3 linked regions of the Mus musculus genome follow. The protein of the gene in region 2 interacts with the protein of the main gene of each other region in a pairwise test. Links are inferred from orthologs where the notes say so. Each region holds a gene or a part of one and is shown on either strand. Other genes may lie near its edges.

Region 1 (4,456 bases), on a different chromosome or scaffold from region 2:
TGTACTAGTCATGGGTATAATGGCCCTGTATTTTGTTTTACACTGAGATTTATTAAGGTACTGTGACGTAATGATTTTGAAATGCTGTTAAATCATCTCTAGGTTTTTGTATGGGAAAAGGATTTTCTGTGTTCAAAGCAAGAGAAATAAATGATTTCAGAATAATTTCTTCTATAATTCAGGTTTTCTATAACAGTAATACTCCATTTTTTGTTTTCTTTATTTAATCCATAATGATTATGTTAATTTCTGCCACGACTATTGTGTGCCTGTCAATTTTTACCTTTACTCTTGTCTGAAAATAATATTTGTAGTTTTTAAAAATCATAAACGCAATGCATATTTATTCATCAAATTCACAATCTTATAAAAATAGAAAATAAGAATTATTTACAATTTCAGCTCTTACTAATAATTACCTTTATCATAATGGAGTATAGCCTTTCAGATTTTTTTCACACATACAGTCTACAAGCTTTTTGATGCTGACACCTACACACATGTATTGTTTCCATTTGTTAAGAAAACCATAAAAAATAACCCCAAATATCGTCTATTATTTTCTCCTAACTACAGTGCATTTAATGTATTTTTTAGAGACATGTAATACTACATGAATTAGCCACCATCTTTTAGACACAGGGATTATTTTATTGTATGGCAAAATCATAGTATTCCTGTCACAGACCCATTTAACTAGCTAAACGCTATTTTTTAAAATGCCACGTTGTTTATATATACTTTTCGAATTGATTATTAGGTCTTTCTAAACAAAGGTGCAAATCCTTAAAATGTCCATTTGTATTTTCAAACTGCCCCATTACAACAATTCATACTACGACTAGCATGAGAGTGCATTTTCTCGGCTCCTGGTCAACAAGGTTTAACGTTCTTTTTTTTTTTTTTATCGCTGCCAATATGATAAACCCGAAGGAAAAATCTCATTGTGTTTATTTGAATCCCTTTGATTAGGAGCGAGCCTCATCTTTTCAGAAGCCTGTTGGCCGTTTCTCGGCTTCTTTTGTAAAATGCTCGCTCCCGCCATGCCTTCCCTTCCCCCAACCGGGCGCTCATTCTCCCTTTTTGCTTTGTCAGAGTTCTTTACTATTCATTTTTCGTCCTTTGCCTGGGATCGGTTCAATTCAGGCTTTCATCCTTTCACTGCCTCCCAGATTGCGAACCCACATTCTCCATTGGTCTTTCAGTGGCTGCTAAAGAAGCTGCCTCCCTCTTCCTCCTCCTGGCCTCCTCCCTTCCCCCCTCGCCTCGCCCGCCTCGCCTTGGTCCCCTGGCTTTTCTCTCCAGCCTCCTTCCTTTTCCTTCTCTTCCCCCCTCTCTTTGTTTATTTCTCCCTCCCTCTCCCTCTCCCTCCCTCCGCCCCCCCTCCTCTGCAGGGCAGGAGTTTTGCGCTCGGCCGCGAGACGCTCGCTGGGCTGGCGCCGCGTCAGCAGGGGGCGGGGCGCGGCCGGGGGCGGGGCGGGGCGGGGCGGGGCGGGAGCGCGGGCGCCGCAGCTGCAGGAGTCGCTGGGAGTGCGCGCGGGCAGATCACAAGGCGGCGGCAGCGGAGACGGCCTGCAGGACCTGCTCTCTCAGCCCTCAGCCGAGGCCTACGCCGAGCCGAGTGCGCAGCCGACGACCGGGAGGAGCCGCAGCCTTCAACTCTGAGGTACTGTGATCCGCGCTGCCCGCCGGGCCGCCCCAGTCCGCTGCTGCGGCACCTCCTTCCCTCGCGCCCTCTTCGCTCGCCAGCGCCTTCCCTGTGAGCCTGCGTCACCGCGGCCGCCATGGCTGAGAACGGCGAGAGCAGCGGCCCCCCGCGCCCCTCCCGCGGCCCTGCGGCGGCCCCAGGCGCGGCCAGCCCGCCGGCCGAGCCCAAAATCATCAAAGTCACTGTGAAGACCCCCAAAGAGAAGGAGGAGTTCGCGGTGCCCGAGAACAGCACCGTGCAGCAGTTCAAGGAAGCGATTTCCAAACGCTTCAAATCGCAGACCGATCAGCTCGTGCTGATTTTCGCCGGAAAGATCCTGAAAGATCAAGATACCTTGATGCAGCATGGCATCCATGATGGACTGACTGTTCACCTGGTTATCAAAAGCCAGAACCGTCCGCAGGGCCAGGCCACCACGCAGCCCAGCACGACTGCGGGAACGAGCACGACGACCACGACCACCACCACGGCGGCGGCGCCGGCGGCGACGACATCATCGGCTCCCAGGAGTAGCTCCACACCTACCACCACGAATAGCAGCTCCTTTGGGCTGGGAAGCCTTTCCAGCCTTAGTAACCTGGGCTTGAACTCGCCCAACTTCACCGAGCTTCAGAACCAGATGCAGCAGCAGCTCCTGGCCAGCCCTGAGATGATGATCCAGATCATGGAAAATCCCTTTGTTCAGAGCATGCTTTCGAATCCTGATCTGATGAGGCAGCTCATCATGGCCAATCCACAGATGCAACAATTGATCCAGAGAAACCCAGAAATCAGCCACCTACTGAACAACCCAGATATAATGAGGCAGACGCTGGAAATCGCCAGGAATCCTGCCATGATGCAAGAGATGATGCGAAATCAAGACCTGGCTCTCAGTAATCTCGAAAGCATCCCAGGTGGCTACAATGCTCTGCGGCGCATGTACACTGACATTCAAGAACCTATGCTGAATGCCGCACAGGAGCAGTTTGGGGGCAACCCGTTTGCCACGGTGGGGAGCAGTTCCACCTCAGGGGAAGGTACTCAGCCCTCCCGCACGGAGAATCGTGATCCGCTGCCCAATCCTTGGGCACCACCGCCAACAACCCAGACGGCTGCGACCACCACCACCACCACGACCACAAGCAGTGGCAGTGGCTCTGGCAGCAGCTCCAGCAGCACCACCGCCGGGAACACCATGGCTGCAGCTAATTACGTGGCTAGCATCTTCAGCACCCCAGGAATGCAGAGCCTGCTGCAGCAGATAACTGAGAATCCCCAGCTGATTCAGAATATGCTGTCTGCGCCCTACATGCGGAGCATGATGCAGTCGCTGAGCCAGAATCCAGATATGGCGGCCCAGATGATGCTGAGTAGCCCGCTGTTCACTTCGAATCCTCAGCTGCAGGAGCAGATGCGTCCACAGCTCCCGAATTTCCTGCAGCAGATGCAGAATCCAGAAACCATCGCGGCCATGTCAAACCCGAGAGCGATGCAAGCGCTAATGCAGATCCAGCAGGGGCTACAGACTCTAGCCACTGAAGCACCTGGCCTCATTCCCAGCTTCGCTCCAGGTGTGGGGATGGGAGTGCTGGGAACCGCCATAACCCCTGTGGGCCCAGTCACTCCCATAGGGCCCATCGGCCCTATAGTTCCTTTCACCCCCATAGGCCCCATCGGGCCTATAGGACCCACTGGCCCTGCAAGCTCCCCCGGCTCCACCGGCACTGGCATCCCGCCTGCAACCACTGTGTCCAGCTCTGCACCTACTGAAACCATAAGTCCAACCTCGGAATCTGGACCCAACCAGCAGTTCATTCAACAAATGGTGCAGGCTCTCACTGGAGGAAGCCCTCCACAGCCGCCGAATCCTGAAGTGAGATTTCAGCAGCAACTGGAACAGCTCAACGCCATGGGGTTCTTAAACCGCGAAGCAAACTTGCAGGCCCTAATAGCAACAGGAGGCGACATCAACGCGGCCATTGAGAGGCTGCTGGGCTCTCAGCCATCCTAATTACGTTTCTGTACCTTGAAAAAAAATGTATCTTATTTTTGATAATGGCTCTTAAATCTTTAAACACACAAAATTGTGCTTTACTTTTATTTTGATTCTTTTAAATCTGTCTACCTATAAATCTAATAGGATGCATTTTAAGGTGGAGTCCCTCCCTCCCTCCCTCCCTCCCTCCCTGCTCCTCCTCCCCCCACCCTCTCCCTTCCCTTCCAGCCTGCCCTCTCCCCTCTTTGTTTCCTTCATTCCTTTCTTTTCTTCTTTTGATTTCCTTCCTTCTCTGATTTGAATGGTGGGAATCAATACTGTTTCACTCAAAGGTGTTGCATGCAAACACTTCTCTTTATTCTGCATTTATTGTGATTTTTGGAAACAGGTATCAGCCTTCACAGTTGGGTGAACAAGTTTTGTCCTACAGATGTCCAGTTTATTTGCATTTTAAACATTAGCCTATGATAGTAATTTAATGTAGAATGAAGATATTAAAAAAACAGAAGCAAATTATTTGAAGCTCTCTAATTTGTGGTAAAATATTGCTTATTGTGACTTTGGCATGTATTTTTGCTAGCAAATGCTGTAAGATTTATACCATTCATTGATCGTTTTTGCTATTTGTACACAGTACAGTAAGCACAATTGGAATTGTACATCTAGAAGTATTACTGTAGAATCTCTGAGCAGAATATGTGTAACCAAAATAAGAAAGAATATAAGAAATATTCCTGAAGCTAGGTATGTCTCACAATTTTGTAGAATCT
Region 2 (3,989 bases):
CTTAACATAGTTGTATGCAGAATAAAGTTAAAAAGAATAAGAATCACCCAAGAGCACTCAGTTCAGTACTATCTGAGACAGAAGGGGGTTTTGTTATTGTTGTTATTCTTAGACTGCACCATGAAAGACTGGGAAAAGTACATTTACAAATTTTGAGAACCTGGGAAAAAAGTCTGACTATAATACTTGATGACACACAAGTGTATAATTAGAAAACATAAGAATTTAAAAAGAGTTATCACTAAAAATATGGCACAACTTCAGCTGTTTCCTCCAAATTTACTTTATAATTGGATGGATATAAATTAATGAACAGAAATTAAGCAAGATATACGAGACAATTTAACAGAACCTGATAGTCTAATTTCAGTATTTCCAAGTTCATCTTTAAATATTTCCATCATGGGATCTACTGGGAATCTAAGCAATGTATGACTGCTTCAACTCAATGTCAATTAACTATTTATGACATAATTTCTTCTACACCGCAATTATGAAGAACCTTCAAGAAACTTTTGTATGTAAAAAAGTGTTAGTCAAGTACTCAACACAATATAAAAGAACATTTCTCATTTGTAAGGTGGAGAGCGCTTCTGCTCATCATTTTTTAACCACAATATCACTGAGTGGAAGGAACGAATCACCTGGAGAACATAAGGAAAATAAACACATGCTAAATGAATAAAACATTACACTTTACTAGACCATTTCTACCTCTAATCCTTCAGAAGTGCAGAGATTTAGAGTATTCTTACATTAATTGCAAGAAAAAATAAAGGAGAAGTTCCTTTGAGATCACAACTATGAAGTCATGTGGTTATACAAACCCTGCTGCATTGGTGTGCAAAACATAACACATTTGCCTCTCCTGTCAGTCACCTAGCAAGACTGAACAGGTACTTTTCTAGGAAACACACCAGATGTGTTTCTGTAACTTCAATAACCTCAGCACTACAGTAACAAGAGATGCAGTATCCTTTTGCTATGGTTCCAGACAGTGGGGAAAGAGGTCACAGGAAAGAGAATCAAAACTGTTACAGATGAGAAACTGTTTCTTTAAGTTTCATCATGGTGCCACCTTCGTTTTTATATAAGCATGGTGGCATAATTCAAAGCTCAACAAATCAGAAATATTAATATTTGAATTTCAACTTGACTTTCAATTATCACCATATTAACCACCAAAACAATAAGATAAGACACACAAGGAAAGGGATATCAAATCCACTTTGCTAGCCTTGTTTCCTGACACATCAACTCATTCTTAATAGAAAAGGGATAGTGCATCTCAGTTTGCTTACAAGCTAGGAGATCACTGTGAATTCTGCATTTCCTAACTGCAAACAGAATATAGCACTTACAACAGGTTATAAATAAACTGGTTTTCAAGCATAGAGCCAGCCCCAACGATAATAATACACTATTTAAAAAGACCTAAGGCAATGAATTCCATTTCCAATGGAAAAAAAGAACTGTGCAAACAAGCTTAAAACTACTATTTTTTTTTTTTTGTGCCAGTGTTATAAAATGTAGCTTTTAATAAAACCTTGACCCAAATGTCAGTAACTTTTCAGAAAAGAATTTGGGTGGGAGAAGAAACTTATTTCATTTAGGAAAAATAACAACTATCTTTTTCCTAAGCTTCAACACACACAATTTAAACATGTACAGTTGCTGTAACACTTTACACAATTCCTATGTACTGGAGCAAGAACAAGGTCTAATAACAATTATATTTTAAACACTGGGTCAAGGCTTTACATAAAAATACCATCCATCCTACTTTCCCCCTAAATTTCTAAAATATCACATACTTCCCTCAACATCTGCAGCCATCCAGGAATTTTTAGGAAACTTTTGTGCATGATCTTAATTCCTAATCCCTGGCTCTTTGGGCTCAGTGACAAAAGATCAAAACCACCAAAACTGATGGTTCACTTGAAGTCAGACGAGAGACCCTGGCTCAATTAGTCTCATAGGATGAAAGCAGTGCTGCATCCACTGGCTCCATGCAGGAGGGGCACGTGAAGGATCTCATCAACCAGTCATCTATACAGTCCAGGTGATAGATGTGCATGCACGGCAGAAATCGAATTGGGTCCCCATAAACAAAGTCCATCATACAGATCACACACCTGAGGGAGCAAAGAAGAAATCAGAAAATTTCACATAAGTGAAACAGTGTTAATGTTAATCTAAATACACACAAGCAAAATATTCATATACCTAAAACTTTTTTTTAAAGTTTCCCTGTTATCTCATTACCAAAGCATGAAAACTGATTTTTTTCCTAACATGCACTGAAACATTCATATTATTTCATTTTGATTTCTTAATTTATTATAAGCATTGAAAGCAACTAAAATGAGCAAAGAAAAACAGACTATGTTAAGGATCAAACCCATACTGTGCCTAAACTTGTTACACATTACAAGAGACATCTACTGTGAGCTTTAGGGAGGAAATTACATCCATTGCTTCCTTACAGAGTTTTCAAAGTAATCAGGAATAATACAAACAGAATGACTATGCCTGGAGTGGTAGGACACTGAAATCAGTATTCTGGACAAAGAAGTAGGTGGATCTCTCTGAGTTTTACTCCAGCTTGATCTACATAGAGTTCTAGGCCAGCCAGGGCTGCATAACAGAAGGCTGTCTCAAAAACAAAGCAAAAGAAAAAAGCAAAAGAGAATGACTGATCCAGTCTACTGTGTGTGCTCCAAGTTAAAACTGTCTCCATTAATTCACTTTCAAGTCCACTACACTTTTCTACAGGTTGAAGAAACCCAATTCTACAGAGATCCAAAACCAATGCTCTAAACAGACTTTGCTCCTAAGTGCCAGTATTAATTAAATGGTGCTATAGCTCAAACAGACAAACATTAAGCCCATTTGGTCTGTGTTTGTTGGTAAAGCCATTCTTAATTAGAATAGCTGTCCCTATTAAATCAAGACAATAAAATTACTCATCAGGCTTGAAAAAAATTACTTTCTTAAGTTATGAAAGATCTCTTGTGTCACTAAAAACTTGAATAGTCTTAATTGTTGCTGTAACTATCACCCATAGACCTATGTGTATGGATACTTGGACCCCCTTATGACATTGTTTGGCAGGTTTTAAAAAACCCTTTAATTGGAGCCTATTAGCCATCTTGTGCTAGTTTTTGGAGAGAACCACAATTGAGAAAATTCCTCCAGATTGGCCTGTGGGGACTCAGATCTACAGAGGTTTTTCTTTTAAATTAAATTAATGATGGCTATGGGAGGGCCTGGACCACTGAGCAGTGCAACCTCTGGGCATGTGGTTCCTGGGTAGTCTAAAAAGGCAAGTTGAAGACACCATATTGGGAGTAAGCCAGGAAGCATGGTTTCTCCCTGGTCTCTGCCTCAGTTTCTTTCTTAGCTTCCCTTGATGACTATAAACCAAATAACCTTATTTTTTTCTCCAAGTAGCTTTGGTCAGTGCAGTAGAAAGTTACTAACATTCTGTTTTTCCAGTTTAGTTCTCAGCTGCTTGTCTGTTAGCACAATGTGAGCAGTGATCTCACAGACCCACCAACACAGACAAGATTAAGTCTTGTTGCTAGGCTTTTCCTACCATGACAGAGTTCCATGAACTCATGAGTCAGAACAAAGCCTTTTTCCCTTAAAGCTTTGTCAGTTATTTTACTACAGTGAGAAAAATAAGACAGCCATATACCTAAGAAAGTATTTCTTTTCACTTTTTCTTTTTTTTTCTGATACAGGGTTTCTTTATGTAGTCCTGGCTGTCCTAGAGATTGCTGTGTAGACCAGGCTGGCCTCAGAAATCCATATGCCTCTACCTCCCAAATACTAGGATTAAAGGTGTGCACAACCACGCCTGGCTAAGTATTTCTTTTTTTTTTTTTTTAATTTATTTATTTATTTATTATATGTAAGTACACTGTAGCTGTCTTCAGACGCACCAGAAGAGGGCATCAGATCTCATTACGGGTGGTTGTGAGCCA
Region 3 (4,666 bases), on a different chromosome or scaffold from region 2:
ACTTGGTTGGAATCTCTTCTTTGGTCTGTCTTTGCCCTGTCTAGGCGAAACAGACATTTCTTTATATTTCCCTAGGAAGAGTCAGACTGCTTGCTCAATTTGAACATTTTGAATTTTGAATGCCTTTTGAAGGGCAATTAATCAATTGAAAGCATGAAATAATAGGGGTGGAGAGATGACTCAGTGGCTGAGAGCATGTATAGTTCTTCCAGAGGACCAGAGTTCCACTCCCAGCACCTATGTCAGTGTCTCAGCCACAGCTCCAGGACAGTCTTGCTACTTTCTGCCAAGCTTGTGGGCCTTAAGTCGTTAGAAAGGAAGCTGAAGACCTCAGTGGACTGTGACACAGAAAGAAGTATAAATGCCAAGTTGTCACAGATCTGAGGAACAGAAACCATAACCAAGGCAACTCTTTCTTTTTTTTCTCTCTCTTTTTTTGGTTTGGTTTTTCTGAGACAGGGTTTCTCTGTATAGCCCTGGCTGTCCTGGATCTCACTTTGTAGACCAGGCTGGGATTGAACTCAGAAATCCACCTGCCTCTGCCTCCCGAGTGCTGGGATTAAAGGCGTGTGCCACCACGCCTGGCCACAAGGCAACTCTTATGACAATATTTAATCAGGGCTGGCTTACAAATTGAGAGGTTCAATCCATTATCAAGGTGCCAGAGCATGGCAACATCCAGGCAGGCATGGTGCAGGAGGAGCTGAGAGTTCTACATTTTCATCTGAAGGCTGCTAGCAGAATACTGCTTCCAGGCAGCTAGGATGAGGGTCTTAAAGCCCACACCCATAGTGACTCACCTACTCCAACTGGGCCACACCTTCTAATAGTCCCATTCCCTGGGCCAAGGATATGCAAACCATCACAGACTCCAACTCCAGGTCCTCCTGTTTCTGCCTCTGCCTTTGCTACCTAAATGCCTCAATTACAAGACACACGTGTCCATGCCTAGTTCAGAGGTCCTTCCTTCCTTCCTTCCTTCCTTTTTGAAACAGAGTCTCTTACTAAACTCACTGTATAGACCAGGCTGATCTCTACCTCACAGAGACCCTCCTGCCTCTGCCTGCAATGTTTTGGGAACCAGCTGACCAATTGAGGAAGGGTCTCATATAGCCCAGGTTGACCTGGAACCAGTTATGTAGCCAAGGCTAGTTTATAATAATCCTTTTGTGACTACTTCCCAAATGCTGGGATTGATTATAGAAATGGGTCTCTTGTTGAGTTCTTCAGACTCCACATACCAAACCCAATAGGCATTTACTCATGCTAAAGTCTGGGGTAGAGGGCCCAAGCCAAGCACCCCCAAAACAAGAGGGAAAGCAATAACAGCCAAATCTCTACATTGCTGTTTTAGCCAGTACCATAAGGATATCACCCCCACCTTATTTAACCTTTACAAGGATTCTTTGAAACCACAGGTGTAACTCTTTGTTGCTGCTCTCCTTGAGCGTCACTTGTCTATAAGGCCAATATCTGCTGCTCATTCTATAAAATGCTAGTGTTGCAAATAAATGCTAAGAAAAATCTTTAAGGTAAATTTGTTGTAATTTCTTCTTTTAGCACTAAGAACTTTAGAAAGCTTTGTTAGGAGAAGGGTAGCCTAAAGAATACTGAAAGAATAATTACAAAAATTCCTGTTCGGATCTTGGTTTAGAGAGTTACTTGAGTAAGCAAGATTCTGCAGCCTACAGTAGCCGAGCGACCAAAAGCGGGAGGAGTTGCTACTAGCAGGCTAGGCGGGAACGCAGACGCAGCTCCCGGAAGTCCCGCCCGACTGAGCGGTTCCTTGGGGGAAGACGTGCCGTTTTGGCGGGGAATTGTGACGTCCGTGGAGCCCGGGTACCTGCTCCGGCCGCGGCCAGTAGACCGATTGGCAGGACAGCGGGTGCGAGCGGCTGGGTCTCGGGACCCGGGGGGTACCGCGAGGTGTTCCAGAAGCTGGAGCGTGGGCACTGGAGGGCTGCCTCCACCGCAACGGCGAGACGGAAGTCCCGCGGCGGCCCGAGCCCGGATTCCGGGCGGTACCGGGTGCTCTGGGAGCGGCGGTGCCCGGGCTTCCGGCTCTGGCAAGCCCGGCCGCCTCGCGCGTAGAGGCGGGTCCTCACCGCGTAAGAAGGGGAGCTGGATGAGCGCTTGTGTGGCGCGGGGAGACAGAACCACTCTCCGCCCCGAGGCCGCCGACTCCCGGAGGAACGTTCTTTCATTCCCTTGCTGGACTCAGGGCATAACTGTTGACCTGACATCACAGCTCCTGCTTGTCTCGGGCCCGTGGGAACTCAGGCCTTCTGGATCTCAGTCCGCTGCTGTGTGTGAGAGTAAACACCAAACGGCTCGCTGCTTTTCTCCGTTCTGGGCGTGATTAGGCGAAAGACGACTTTAGTCCCTTTCTGATTTTAACGTTGGGTAGGTCTCATTAGCATATGAAGATGGCTGCACCTAAAACCTCCATCCCTTCCTTAGCCGAATGTCAGTGCGGGATCTGTATGGAAATCCTCCTAGAGCCTGTAACCCTACCTTGCAACCACACGCTCTGTAACCCATGCTTCCAGTCCACTGTTGAAAAGGCCAATCTATGCTGTCCCTTCTGTCGTCGCCGGGTCTCTTCGTGGACTCGGTACCATACCCGAAGAAATTCTCTGGTCAATACAGACCTGTGGGAGATTATTCAAAAACACTATGCAAAGGAATGCAAGCTTAGAATCTCTGGACAAGAATCAAAGGAAATCAGTAAGTAAAATTAAGCATGTTTATTGGGTAAAACGGCCCAAAATCCCTTTGAAAGGGAACCATTTTTGTTTTTGCTTTTCGAGAAAGGGTTCCTCTGTGTTGCCCTGGCTGTCCTGGAACTCACAATGTAGATCAGGCTGGCCTCGAACCCAGAGATCCACCTACCTCTGCTTCCTGAGTTCTGGGATTAAAGGTATGAGCCACCATCGCAGGGCTCGAACCATCATTTTCTAATTTAAAGAAAAAGAAAAAGAAGGCTAAATAGTCTGAATCGTGAGGATTTGTGGTTTTATAAGCCCTGCCCACACATCAGTTAAAGTCAAGGACAGAGTTACATCACGTGTAGTAATGGTCAAGTTGTGTTCATCTGCTGTGAATTAGGGTTTTTTTTTTTTTTTTAACATTTTTTTAGACATGTTTTGAGACACAGTTTTATTACTGTGTAGCATGGGATAGCCTTAGCCTCACAAATACTGGAGTTGCAGGTGTGCTATTACACACCTGTCCTTTATAATGTAGTAGTATTAGTGAGGGTTGCCCTTTATAAGGGCAGAATGGTAAGTATTTTTGTGGACTATATAGTCTACTGAAGACACTTGGTGAGCTCTGCCACTGTAGAACAAAAGCCACCGTAGTCAATACATTAATTTACATTACCCTTTGTAAATGAAGATAGTGCCTGTGTTTCCATAAAACTTTATGAAAAACAAAAAGTGGGGGGGCAGATTTGTCCTGTCAATGAATCATGGCTAAATAGCCCCTGTCTTAGAATATCACTATTACTGTTCTTAAGAACAATTCTTTATCTGTGGAGGTAGCAGAATTAAATAATTGCAGATACTTCGGAAGGGAAAACTTGAGATTTCTTATTTTTTAAAATATGTATTTAGAGTGTGTGAATGTAAGTGCCTCATGTGCATGTGGTGCAGAAGAGGCAGGAGAACTAGAACTGAGTGACAAAGTTATAGGTTGTCATGTGAGTACTTGGAACCAACCAAACCCAGGTACTCTGGAAGAACAGTAAGCATTCTTTTTTTTTTTTGAGACAGGGTTTCTCTGTGTAGCTCACTCTGTAGAGACCAGGCTGGCCTCGAACTCAGAAATCCTTCTGCCTCTGCCTCCCAAGTGCTTGAGTTAAAGGCGAAAATTTAATTTTTTGTAACCCAATTGAAAGATTTTTTTTGAATATATAGTTCTGTTTTCAGGTGGCTCAAATATGAAAAGGAAGGCCCTTCCTCTTAATCGCCTTTGAAATATGAGAACATATTAGTACAAACTTGTAAAATGTATAAAAATAGTAGGACAAAAAGGTAGAAGTGTCCAAGTGACATCAATGGATGGATAAACTAAATGTACATATCTGCAACAGAATATATTGCTCTTTCATTAAATGGAATTGTTAAAGTTGTAATGTGGGATGAAGGCTTTGTTCTAGCTGTCATTACTCAGGTGATTCCATATGGAGAGCATTAACGACATCATTGGATCAGTCCACTGATAAGTTTATCCCAGCTGGGCTGTTAGGTGAGGCCTGTCTGGAGGAAGTATACTGGAAATGCCTGTGACAGGTTTGCTTTTTGACTGCAGTTGAAGTGGGCACCTCTCCTCTACCAAGCTTTTTCACAATCATGTTTCTGCCTTGCACAGGCATAAAACCATAAATGCAAACCTCTGAACGAGCCAAACTAAATCTTTTCTCTCTCAAGTTATTTATGTGATGCATTTTGCCATAGCAAAACACAGGAACACAATTGACAGGTTCCAGATCATGGAAATAAAGAGGTGCAGACCAGCCTAGCCTGAAATCATAACAGTCTACCTGTTTCTTCCTTCAAGCTAGGACAAGAGGCCTGTGTTACTGTAAGACCTGGGGTAGGCCACAAATCCCAGACGAGCCCCCGCATATAAGACCCCCCCCCAAGCTGGGCCTCTGCTCAAG

The links.
Region 1: the proteins of Rnf11 (region 2) and Ubqln2 interact in binary tests that used the Homo sapiens proteins (3 or more experiments, as listed by UniProt). The link is inferred for Mus musculus from reciprocal best matches to the Homo sapiens genes RNF11 and UBQLN2.
Region 3: the proteins of Rnf11 (region 2) and Rnf168 interact in binary tests that used the Homo sapiens proteins (3 or more experiments, as listed by UniProt). The link is inferred for Mus musculus from reciprocal best matches to the Homo sapiens genes RNF11 and RNF168.

What each region holds. Positions count from the first base shown.
Region 1 is NC_000086.7:153,496,670-153,501,125, forward strand, and holds the start of Ubqln2 (ubiquilin-2), read left to right. Parts: upstream 1-1,562; 5' UTR 1,563-1,784; coding exon 1,785-3,701; 3' UTR 3,702-4,456. UniProt on the Homo sapiens protein: Plays an important role in the regulation of different protein degradation mechanisms and pathways including ubiquitin-proteasome system (UPS), autophagy and the endoplasmic reticulum-associated protein degradation (ERAD) pathway.
Region 2 is NC_000070.6:109,452,288-109,456,276, forward strand, and holds the end of Rnf11 (RING finger protein 11), read right to left. Parts: intron 2,136-3,989; coding exon 1,964-2,135; 3' UTR 570-1,963; downstream 1-569. UniProt on the Homo sapiens protein: Essential component of a ubiquitin-editing protein complex, comprising also TNFAIP3, ITCH and TAX1BP1, that ensures the transient nature of inflammatory signaling pathways. Promotes the association of TNFAIP3 to RIPK1 after TNF stimulation.
Region 3 is NC_000082.6:32,275,689-32,280,354, forward strand, and holds the start of Rnf168 (E3 ubiquitin-protein ligase RNF168), read left to right. Parts: upstream 1-1,772; 5' UTR 1,773-2,420; coding exon 2,421-2,727; intron 2,728-4,666. UniProt on the Homo sapiens protein: E3 ubiquitin-protein ligase required for accumulation of repair proteins to sites of DNA damage. Acts with UBE2N/UBC13 to amplify the RNF8-dependent histone ubiquitination.